Linked DNA regions of Daphnia pulex. The protein of the gene in region 2 binds, or shares a complex with, the protein of the main gene of each other region. Links are inferred from orthologs where the notes say so. Each region holds a gene or a part of one and is shown on either strand. Other genes may lie near its edges. The genes, in order: protein SEC13 homolog, GATOR complex protein Iml1-like and nucleoporin SEH1-like.

Region 1 (3,226 bases), on a different chromosome or scaffold from region 2:
GACATTGTAAGCACCATTCAAATTCAATTTTTATTAATGATTTATTCATCATCTTATTTGATTATTTTTTTGACAGATGACCTCCTTTCCTAACAGTAGCTGTGACATTGAAATGCCGGTGCAAGAAAAAACGTTAGACCCCTATCTGGAGAAAGATATGTCTGATGAAGAATTGGCACGTTATTTGCTTACTGATAAAACATTATTAAAGTATTGGCGTATTCTCGATGTACGACGAACATCCGACACATCTTCCTGTTGTTTCACCAAAGCGTATACCCACTATGCAGAAGGAACTGGTTCTGTACTTCAACACGACCCGAACGAGCCATTTCACCAAAAATTCGCTGAATTTAAAGAAGATGAAGATATTGCTCATTTGAAACCTTTAAAATTAAGGTAAGATTGAAAACCTAATAACTGAAATTGCCTCATAACTAACCCAACGTATTATTTGTTGTAACATTTTCTGTTCTTAGATATTTCACACCGCGAGAAGTCGGAAATTTAATGGGCTTCCCTGCTGAATTTACCTTTCCTGAAAACACTTCACTTAAAACTCGGTATCGACTCTTAGGGAACAGTTTGAACGTGTTGGTAGTTTCTAATCTTTTAAGAATATTATTGGGTTGAAATAAATAATTAAACGTTTAAATGTTTCTTTGCGGTAATTTATATAGTAAACCAAATCAAGGGAAACATGGCTAGCGTTAGAGTGGAGATTAACAAACAGACGGGTATTTTCACTGTTGGCCAGGCGTCGATCCCTTGCCTCGATTCACGTCACTGATGCATACCCATTGGCCTTCCACTGTTTCCTTCCAGAGACTAACTTTGTTGTCCCCACCAGAGACCGCCAAGATGTTTCCGGTCACGGACCATGAGACGTGCCAAACAACATCTTCGAAGGTGTGAAGAACTCGTTGGTTCCAACTGCTGGAAACACCGTCGTTGGTCCATAGAATCACTCGACGATCTTGAGAACAGCTGGCGATGACCGTACGCGAAAGCCCAATGGACGGAGCCCAAGCTGCATCACGAACCCAATCCGAATGGCCTTCTAGTTTAGCTTCCTCAACCCATTCTTTATCTTCCCTGCAAATTCGAAAAAAGGCCTCGATTGATAAAGGAGATTTACTTTTTAAATGAATTATGTAACTTACCGCCAGACTTTGACTAGGTTATCACAACCCCCACTAACAAAACGCTTGACAGGAGCAGATCGTGAACCGGTAGTTGAGTCAAAGGCCGCGTTAGGTCCAATAGCTGGAGCCCAACTAACTGCATTGCACCCAATCTACAATAGCATCACATGCATTAGGAAATATTTAAGACTTAATAAAGATGGTGAAATGTATACTGTATGGGCATTGTTGATCTTCTTGGCCTCCCAACCTCCTGCAGCTGTAGCAGAGAGAATGGAGATGGATCCATCAGAACTTCCACAAGCGAGGATAAGGCCATAGTCATGAGGGGCCCAGCAAACAGAGTTCACAGATGAATCATGGTTAGCATATTCATAAAACTTGACCCATTGTCCATTCATCTCTTTCCAGATAATAACTTTGTGATCATAAGAACATGATGCTAAAATATTCCCAAACTTGGGATGAGCCCAAGCAATTTGCCAAACCTGATAAATGTATGAAATTGTCAGTATAACCACCATTTGTTGTATGATATTAACAGATCATTCAAAATTAACATACCGGTCCTTCGTGTCCTCTCAAATCGGCAGCCAATGTTTGTGTTCCATTTTTCACATCGTAAATCCTCACAGACCTGTCAGATGAGCAGGTTGCAAGCCGACAGCCATAATAGTCCATTTGCGCATCATGCTAATAAATCCCCAAAAAAACGTTAATATCATGTAAGAAATTACAAAATCAACATCAGAATGATTAGATACTCACGATCATGTCTTCATGTCCAGTATCGACTGTGGAAATGACTGACACCTAAGAGGGAATAATTTAATGATAATTTTACAAGTGCCTTTAAAAATGCATCCAAATTATGACAAAGTACCATTTTTACTGAGAACTTGTAGATAAGACAGCGAGTTATAAAATATTCCTGCGTAAAAAAAATACCGACAAACTCACACAAACGAATCTGTCAATTTTCAGTCGACGTGTCCCCAGCGCGTTGCCAAACATCAACAATTCAACCAATTTTAGTGAAAACGTTTTGGCGCCACGCCACCTCCATTTAAATTTTCATTCAAAAAAAGGGTTAGATCAATAAGATGACGTACAAATAAATACAAGGAACAAATATGATTTATTAAGAATTTCAGAACGGAAGAAGTACAAGGGTGACGTGCAACAGGACAAGTACAAAAATAATTAACGCAGTCACAGTGGAAAAAACGTGAAAAAAGGAAACGTAGTCACGAAAGTAATGAAACCAAAATAAATATTTCTTGCACAGAAAATGAAACAACCGCAGCCTAATATAAAAATTTTTGTTGGGAAATAGTTTGTGAAGACCGAAAGGAATTAAACATCTTTACTATAATATTGTAACAATTAAGATGCAAAAAGAAGGCTGGGTGTGTTAACACTGTTGAAAAGAAAAGCTGAATATTTGTTGACCGAGTTCATAAAATAATTGTTCTCTCTCTCTCTCTATAGAATTAAGACTTTCCGTCGTCGTAAGAAGAATTTTGAAATTGTTTTGGAGAAAATGAACTGGTTCATTTGTGTGATGGAGTCGCAAGGAATGCAAAAGGTGTCGAAAAATCGTTCTCATCTGCTTTCGCTGAAGTTTCCGGTGACGAAGGCGGAGTCAATATCTTGCGGTGCTTTTCGAAAAGATCCACCCCATTTAAAGTAAAGAGACGAATGTGAAGGGCTCCGTCGACGACCTTGATGAATTTAACGGCGAAGAAAGCACGTTTAACGAAGCGATCAAGAAAAGCATCGGCGGCGACTTTGGAGAAAGATTCCGCTCCATCCAGGCAACACTTGAATGCCAACGCCGGTTGCTTGGCGTAATCCGAGGGTAAATCTCTCAACAAACTGGTCTGCACCTCACAAGTGTGACCGTAATCAAAATAGTAGACTCTGGCGGTGTCTCCATTGACGCTTTCAACCACGGCGCGATACCATTGTCCGTCATCAGGGAAGAAATCATCTGGCTCACGGTAAAAAGCCAGGCACGGCTTACCGACGGAAGCAACAAAGTTCTTCTTGTTGATAAATTCCGGATGGCGGCCCAACAC
Region 2 (3,755 bases):
TCCTCCTTGAAAGTCAGTCCTTTGTCGAAAAAACCCTCTACCCAAGTAAAATGCGATCACGTCCGATTTCCACGCCTATTCGCGACACATCATTATCGCTTCCAATAGAGGTTGAAAGTACGAATCATAACGGATCCGTTCTCAAACAGTTGCTACTAACAAGTAATTATTTAAAACTTTTGCCTTTATTTTGTGTTGATTTTAGTAATATTATGATATTAATTTAAAAAATTTTCCCGTTCTCCATGATTCGCCCATGAATTTTTTGAAATTATTAATATTTTTAATTATTTGATAAGGCAATGAAGACGTCATCAGATCATCCAAAAAAACTGTATCGAAGCAAAGTTCAATAATGAGCCGAACACCCTCATCGGTACAACAATCATCACCCGTTCAGCTAACGAACAAACGCAAACAAACAACAGAACCTCGTCGGCTTGCCGAATCCAACGTCCACGTTGCACGCCCGACAACCCCGAAGTGCGTGCGAGATTCAGATTACTGGAGCCCTCCTGTCCTCACACCTCCACCTGATGGAAGAGCCTATTCACCTCCGTCAACTCCAGTGGCACACATTGAACCTTATGTTGAGCCTCAAGTGATGTACAATCCTTACTTCTTATGGCAACTTTATTCCTATAAGCAATCTTGCAGTAACAGTTTCAAATCATTCTCTCACAATTATTGATTCAGGATAGTTGTTGTCATGGCTAACGATTTATTTGTTAACAGGCGTGTTTAAAGAACAAGTAACTTATTGCTGGTAAATTATGTTGCTGTAATAATATTTGATTGAATTTACAATTTAACCATACACACATAGATTTAGCCGTCAGTTGTTGTGTTTTATTTTCTAACATTATTTACCATATTTTCTACAGCTTCTTTTTTAGTTCAGAGTTAATTCTTAATTCATATTCCTGAAAATTACCGCTTTCAAATTTCGTTTTTGACGTAGCTACAATTTTTGTCGCTAGATGACCTTAACGATTGTTGATCAACAGATCAGCAGACGGCTGAACAGGGCAATCACGGCAACATCAGCTGCATATATTTGCGCTGCAGTAGTCTAGTCTTTCATCTCGTGACGATAGAAGAGGCTCGAATATCCTGTCAAGAGCTTCAAAATGAAAACTTTTAAACTGATTGCTCATCAGAAACATTTTAGTGGTGAGATATTTGTATGTCTTTATTCTGCGAATGATGATGCTTAGCCTACTTATATTCTCGTGATGTTTTGTAGAGGAAGAAATAATTTTGAGCTCAAAAGATTTCCCACACGTGAAAGTGAGAGATGTAGTAGAAATATACCACCCTGATGTTGTTGGCTCCAGAGTTCTACTTCAAGTACATTCTTTAAAAGAAGAAATGCAAACAAAAGGTAGGCCTATTATGTTTGTGATTTTTAATGAATACTATGTTTGAATGCTACTGGTTCATCTCTTAATTATAAAAATGTGTTAACATTTAGACACAATCAGCATTGAACAGTCAATAGTAAGTATGTTCCAACTTCAAATATTTTTTGGAGTCCATGTGACTGTGATGGATCCAGCCTCAGCTGCTCTAGATTCTGTAGAGTTAACCTTCAAGGATCAGTATCTAGGACGTAGTGACATGTGGAGGTTGAAAAATTGCCTTATTGGCTCTTGTTTGTACATTGGGAAGAAATTGGAGTTTTGCAACAAGTCAGTTCGATGTCAGGTGAGGAAGTGTAATCAGTAATGAGTATTAAATTTGTTTATTTGTAAATTGTTTGTTTTTCAAATAAGGTTCATGAAATGTGGGGACAAGGAGAAAGAGTGGCATGTGGTGTGATTACAGAGGATACAAAAATTGTATTTCGTTCATCAACAAGTCAGGTGTATCTCTTCTTACAAATGAGCTCAGAAATGTGGGATTTTGACATATACGGTGATCTGTATTTTGAAAAAGCTGTTAACGGCTTCTTATCGGAATTATTCGCCAAGTGGAAACGCCATGGATCTAATCATGAGGTGGCATCGGTTATGATAAATCTTTAGCATTAAATTCATTAAACCTCTAATCTCATTTCCAGGTCACAATTGTTTTATTTTCTCGAATATTTTACGAGACAGAATCTTTGGAATACTTCCCAGAAACTGTGCGAGCGTGCTTGCAGCAAGATTACCGTGGTATGTTCTATGAAGACTTTTACCGTGTAGCTGTTCAAAGCGAACGAATGGAAGACTGGGCGTGTGTGCTGCCGCAACTCAAATTACTCTTTCATAACTGGCAGAACTCTGTGTTGGGTTACCATCAACAAAACCACCCTGACATGAACATACCTAAAGTATTTTTCTTCATTATTTGTGAATCATGACAAGAGTTCTAACATTTTCCTTGTTTGTAAATAGGGTGTTAATTCATGTGCAGCCCAAGGAAACTTTCTCGAGGTGCTTAACATGTCTCTAAATGTTTTTGAGAAGCACTACTTGGATAGAAGCTTTGACCGCACTGGCCAGCTTTCCGTAGTCATCACACCTGGAGTTGGCGTCTTTGAAGTAGATCGAGAGTTGACAAACATTACGAAGCAAAGGATCATAGACAACGGTAAAAAATTTCAACTGTTTTTATTTTTTTTACTAAATACTTTCTTATCGAGCATGGTTTCAATTAAATATGTGTTACAAACAGGTGTGGGGAGTGATCTGGTTTGTGTTGGTGAACAGCCTTTACATGCAGTTCCCTTATTGCAATTTCACAATAAAAGACATAGCGCTGCCTCAAATGACTTTAGTATGCCTCATTGGATCAATCTCAGCTTCTATTCTTCCAGCAAGCGGATTGGTTATTCTACATTTCTTCCCCGCATTAAGATGGCTCCCATTTTAAATAAAGAGACAACTCTTCACAAGAGCAAAACTGCAGGTACAGTAATTCAAACACTATTATTGAATAAGAGTCGAAATTTTACTTTAATAAAACTTTATCGTTTGTATTTAGGATTACTCTCGTCTAAAACTAGCAGTTCCATTAAAGTTGAAAGTAGTTTACCGAACTCTGTCTTTGACTATGATGCCTATGACGCAAAAGTGTTTGCGCTTCCAGTAACCCGCACTAGCAAGGTATTTGAATACGTTATGTCTCTTGGGAAAATAATCGGATACAAATGTTCTGTTATGTGCAGGTTCAAACTTTGATGCGAGAAACTCGTCATCGCAAAACCACCGCTATATCCTCAGAGGTGAATCGGTTTGATCGGAGCCGAGGAAACGCTAGAAGATCTCGTCTTCATGATATGGACATTTCTTTTACCACGGGTCACCCTGGTATATGAAATTTTTCTAATTTCCATGTTAAATTCTGTAAAAACATAGGTGCAAATTTTTTATTTAATAGGTGATGGACTCAGCAGCTCATTGATCAGTGCGCCCACTATGCTCAGCTGTTCACTCACAAAATCACCCTCAGTTACCATTCCAAAAAGACCAGCTGTCGACGACAGTTTTATTGCGTCATGTGGTGCAACTGCACCTCATCCACGTGTTCGAAGACCTAGTGGGGGTGAGGAGCGATTAGAAGATCGCAGGTCCAACACTCTTAGAGCTGTAGTAGGCAGCGCTGGATCACCAAGCGCTCTCGGAAGCAACACAGTGACGATAGGCGCCAACCCGTCTACTGTTACTTTCGATCCCAGTACACGTCAAATCAAAACTGGACGTGCTTTAATTAATCCATTCGATCCGAGCAGAGTAACAATTAAGTTAACATCCAATCGAAGAAGATGG
Region 3 (3,666 bases), on a different chromosome or scaffold from region 2:
CAAATTTACCGGAAGGAACTGATAGCTCAATTTCCCATGTTTAAAAATGATTTTTTTAAAACTAAAATCGTAAATTTTTGTGATGGCTATCACTAGTTTAGGGAAAATCACGAATAGGATGATTTTCCTATATTTCCTACAGACACATGCAATCGACCCAAAATTTGACGAAGATCACAAATCCTTAGTTCTTTTCTTATTTGCGTCAAAATAATACTTACTGATAATATTTACGGAACTACTGACTTTTAAACTGGAGGTAGACAAAAACAAACGTTTGCAAAAATCTAACAGGTGAGTTTTGTAATATTCAGTTTTTGTCAAAAATCACAAAAATGACCTTACAGTTTATTGTTGTAAATGTCCTTAGAGATGTGTAAATGTATGCAGTAATGCAGCTGAAAATGATCAAATCATTTGAATCATTTCCCTCCTAACAAAAAAACAAATAGCTACTCTACTAGAGAAAAGTGTTTTTATAACAACTTGACCCTAAACGAATGTGACATGAAAAAATGACATAGTTTAAAACTCCATATCATTTCATTTATTTCTTCAGAACAACTTTCCATTTTCGAGACCATGGGTTTCTCCAGAAATGAAAACTCCCAGTTATTTGTGTGGATTGGAAGAGACATATTATTATCATAAAAATTGGGAAGTAAATGTTAGTGCCAGGGTACTTGATTTGGATTGCTGATTGCGCCAAGTTTAAAGTAACGAGCAGTTGCTGCAGAAACGGTTTTATCACGATCAGTTCCGTCTTCTGGACTTACACCCGATCCATCACCTTTCAACACGGCAATGCATTTCCAATTCTGCAAATAGTTGGCTGTGGAAATAGACAGTAAAAACAGCTGATTTAATAGGCCAGACATGGCATTAAATATTTCTTGATTTCTTGCCTTTCCACATTCTTAAACAGCCGTCATCTCCTGAAGAAGCTAGAATAGTTCCAGTAATGTTCCAAGAGATTCTCCAAACAGTAGAATGATGGTCATCAAATTGGGCTGCCTGCAGTATCTCCAACTGGGAAGTTGGACAAGCTGCTGCATAAGCATCTTTCCTTTAATAAAAAAAATTATAAATTTATTCTTATTCCATCCTTAAAATATTTTAACTACTTACTGAGGTGGTTTAAGAATAACTATTCTAACATCTTTGCTTGCAATTCCTAGAATGTGGTAACTTCTTCCCAAGTTAGGTGCAAATGCTATGTCATGCACTGGGTCGACTATTGTGTTGATAGTTTCAGCTTTAGACCAGCGATGGGAGCTTTCACTGTACTCAAACAGAAACACTTTTCCACCAGAGGCGACATTCGTGTCATCACTACCAACTGCCAACATTGGAGGATGGAGACGAGAAAATGACGGATTCCATGATAGACAAGACACAGGCATTTTCAGTGTTATTTCTTGCTGCAAACTCCATTGACTTAGGTTCATAATGTCTGGGGCTTCATATATTCTAACCTATTATGTTATAAAATTGACATTTTCATCTGGTTTATATATTTAACAATGTAATAAATATATCTTAGAACTTACTCCTCCATCAGCTGAACACATAGCTAACAATAGTCCCATGTGTTTTGGAGCAAATTTGATGTCAGTCACATTGGTTCTTGAATCTACCAAACTTGTCCTTTTCACCCAATGACTTTGGTTTTTACTCTGCGTTGAATTCCCTGATTCACCAACTGGATATGCATTTAGTAACTAATTTAAGTTGTTAAAATTGTAAAGAATTTTACAAACCAATTTCTTCCCAAATTGCAGCTGTTCTGTCAAATGAGCAAGTGGCTAAAATTTGACCAAATTCAGGATGAGCCCAATTTACTTTCCAAACAGAACCAGCATGAGTCTTCCAATCAGCAGTCAATCTCCATTCATCATTTTCATCCAGGTCAAAAACCTTGAAAGATAATTCCGCAATTTAGTTAACACAAGAAATTTTTTTCGATTTCTAACAATTTACTTTAACACTCTGGTCGGAGGAACAAGTAGCCAATCGACGCCCATAAAAATCATAAGCTACATCATGAATCAGGTCTTTGTGTTCAGCATTTATCGTTCTTGCTTGAAACATGTTTACAGAACTTTTTAAATCACTTCTTAATCACGAGAAACAAGTTTTTGCTTGCAAATTTCACAGAATTAAGAAAGCAAGAACGCAAGCAGCCGACAGCTCGACTGATCAAACTTCAAATGTATGGCACTATGGCAGTATGGGACAGTTGTGGGCGTTGCCAGATTGATTCATGAAAGAAACGATGTTTTTTCTGATATTGTTGGTTGGCTGACTTGGCTCATTGCTGGGGAGTGGTTGCTAGGTAACAAATATGCTTTACAAAACAAACAAAAATTTAAAGTGACGATGATCGTGTTAGTTGCTCATTACCTGCTTTTTTTCATCTTAAAGAAGGTGGAGGCTTACGATGTCATATTGTCTTCGTTTCCTGAAAGCTGCAATCGTTCCTCCTACTTTGATTCGATATCACATAAGTGCAAAGGTTGCGGGGTCTTTCAAATATCTTCCGATGACCGTTTGAGTTGTGAGTGTGGCTTTGGCTACTACCCTGAATTTAATGAAAAGTCCAAAGCAATTGAATGCTTACGCTGTAACCAATCAATTCAGTCAGAAATGTGTCTAAAAAGCAATCTCACGTGTGAACCGTACGACATCAAAGGTATGAAAAACGCACATTTACCTAGGTCCTATCTGCTAAGTATAGTAAAGAAGAATTAATTTCTGAATTTTTATCACAGTCCTTCAAATTACTGGAAATATTACCTCCGCACGATGTCTGAAATGCCCGCTTTGGCATCAGCCTGATGACACAAAATCTTCGTGCGTTCCTTGTTCGAACATGTGTCATTGTCCTAGTGAATACGAAGATGTGAACGGAACTTGCGTCAAAGATTTATTCACGATTCCCGAAACACCCACTATCTTTACATATAACTTACACGGGAGACCTTACATTTCTAATTATTTGCGGAATTGGGTTAGATTGACGGCAATTAAATGCAAGGTAGGAATTATTTACCATGTTTGTGCTATTAAACACCAATTTTTTTTCTTTAAAGGCACACGGTGGAGGAAAATACTGCGAACATCTGATCAATCTCTGTGTCTTAACGGATTACAACTACGATTCTCAGTCAGCTTGCTCTCTTTATCGACAATTATCTGGAGGCTTTAGCAATTCAATATACTACGACGATAGTCAAAACGAATATCTACTAAACTCCGCCAGGATAAACATACTGAAAGATCAAGTAGCATCTATAACTTTTACGGACTAAACAGGAAAAGTTTTTCATTAATGACTTTTTTTAGAAAATGGATTTTATGGTTAAACAATACGCATTAGATGGTACATATTTATTGATCCAGCCTCTTCAATCGGTTTTTAAATCATTGTGCTGCACTGGAACTTGGAAACCAATCCAACGAAATGCCAATATTTATCACAGCTGTTCGGTTTATTCGAAAGTTTTCAACATGGCTGATATGCGCTTTTATGAAATTTATTTCGTTGATCGGGCAATTAATCAATCAAGATTGATCAACGTTCCAATAAAAATATTGAACCTTGTTCGCGGAGGCGTTCAACGTAATAGGGTAAGTTTATACGCTCAGAAAATACAACATTACTAC

The links.
Region 1: GATOR complex protein Iml1-like (region 2) and protein SEC13 homolog share a complex: the UniProt entries of both Drosophila melanogaster proteins name them as parts of the GATOR complex. The link is inferred for Daphnia pulex from reciprocal best matches to the Drosophila melanogaster genes Iml1 and Sec13.
Region 3: GATOR complex protein Iml1-like (region 2) and nucleoporin SEH1-like share a complex: the UniProt entries of both Drosophila melanogaster proteins name them as parts of the GATOR complex. The link is inferred for Daphnia pulex from reciprocal best matches to the Drosophila melanogaster genes Iml1 and Nup44A.

What each region holds. Positions count from the first base shown.
Region 1 is NC_060026.1:1,756,567-1,759,792, forward strand, and holds protein SEC13 homolog, read right to left. Parts: upstream 2,184-3,226; 5' UTR 2,032-2,183; coding exon 2,029-2,031; intron 1,959-2,028; coding exon 1,914-1,958; intron 1,839-1,913; coding exon 1,710-1,838; intron 1,634-1,709; coding exon 1,361-1,633; intron 1,298-1,360; coding exon 1,164-1,297; intron 1,096-1,163; coding exon 744-1,095; 3' UTR 656-743; downstream 1-655. Other genes in the region: tRNA (cytosine(38)-C(5))-methyltransferase-like, read left to right, coding at 1-6, 77-399, 480-633; uncharacterized protein LOC124206188, read right to left, coding at 2,699-3,226. UniProt on the Drosophila melanogaster protein: Functions as a component of the nuclear pore complex (NPC) and the COPII coat. At the endoplasmic reticulum, SEC13 is involved in the biogenesis of COPII-coated vesicles.
Region 2 is NC_060021.1:10,273,609-10,277,363, forward strand, and holds the start of GATOR complex protein Iml1-like, read left to right. Parts: upstream 1-1,008; 5' UTR 1,009-1,130; coding exon 1,131-1,173; intron 1,174-1,246; coding exon 1,247-1,384; intron 1,385-1,474; coding exon 1,475-1,707; intron 1,708-1,775; coding exon 1,776-2,000; intron 2,001-2,062; coding exon 2,063-2,317; intron 2,318-2,381; coding exon 2,382-2,577; intron 2,578-2,661; coding exon 2,662-2,895; intron 2,896-2,970; coding exon 2,971-3,092; intron 3,093-3,154; coding exon 3,155-3,296; intron 3,297-3,366; coding exon 3,367-3,755. Other genes in the region: uncharacterized protein LOC124194533, read left to right, coding at 1-162, 300-691. UniProt on the Drosophila melanogaster protein: An essential component of the GATOR subcomplex GATOR1 which functions as an inhibitor of the amino acid-sensing branch of the TORC1 signaling pathway.
Region 3 is NC_060020.1:7,749,465-7,753,130, reverse strand, and holds nucleoporin SEH1-like, read right to left. Parts: upstream 2,267-3,666; 5' UTR 2,092-2,266; coding exon 1,981-2,091; intron 1,918-1,980; coding exon 1,761-1,917; intron 1,703-1,760; coding exon 1,551-1,702; intron 1,476-1,550; coding exon 1,129-1,475; intron 1,067-1,128; coding exon 906-1,066; intron 833-905; coding exon 669-832; 3' UTR 525-668; downstream 1-524. Other genes in the region: meckelin-like, read left to right, coding at 2,380-2,692, 2,772-3,037, 3,093-3,284, 3,346-3,630. UniProt on the Drosophila melanogaster protein: Probable component of the nuclear pore complex (NPC). Involved in maintaining the localization of another nucleoporin Mgtor to the nuclear envelope of early meiotic female germline cells.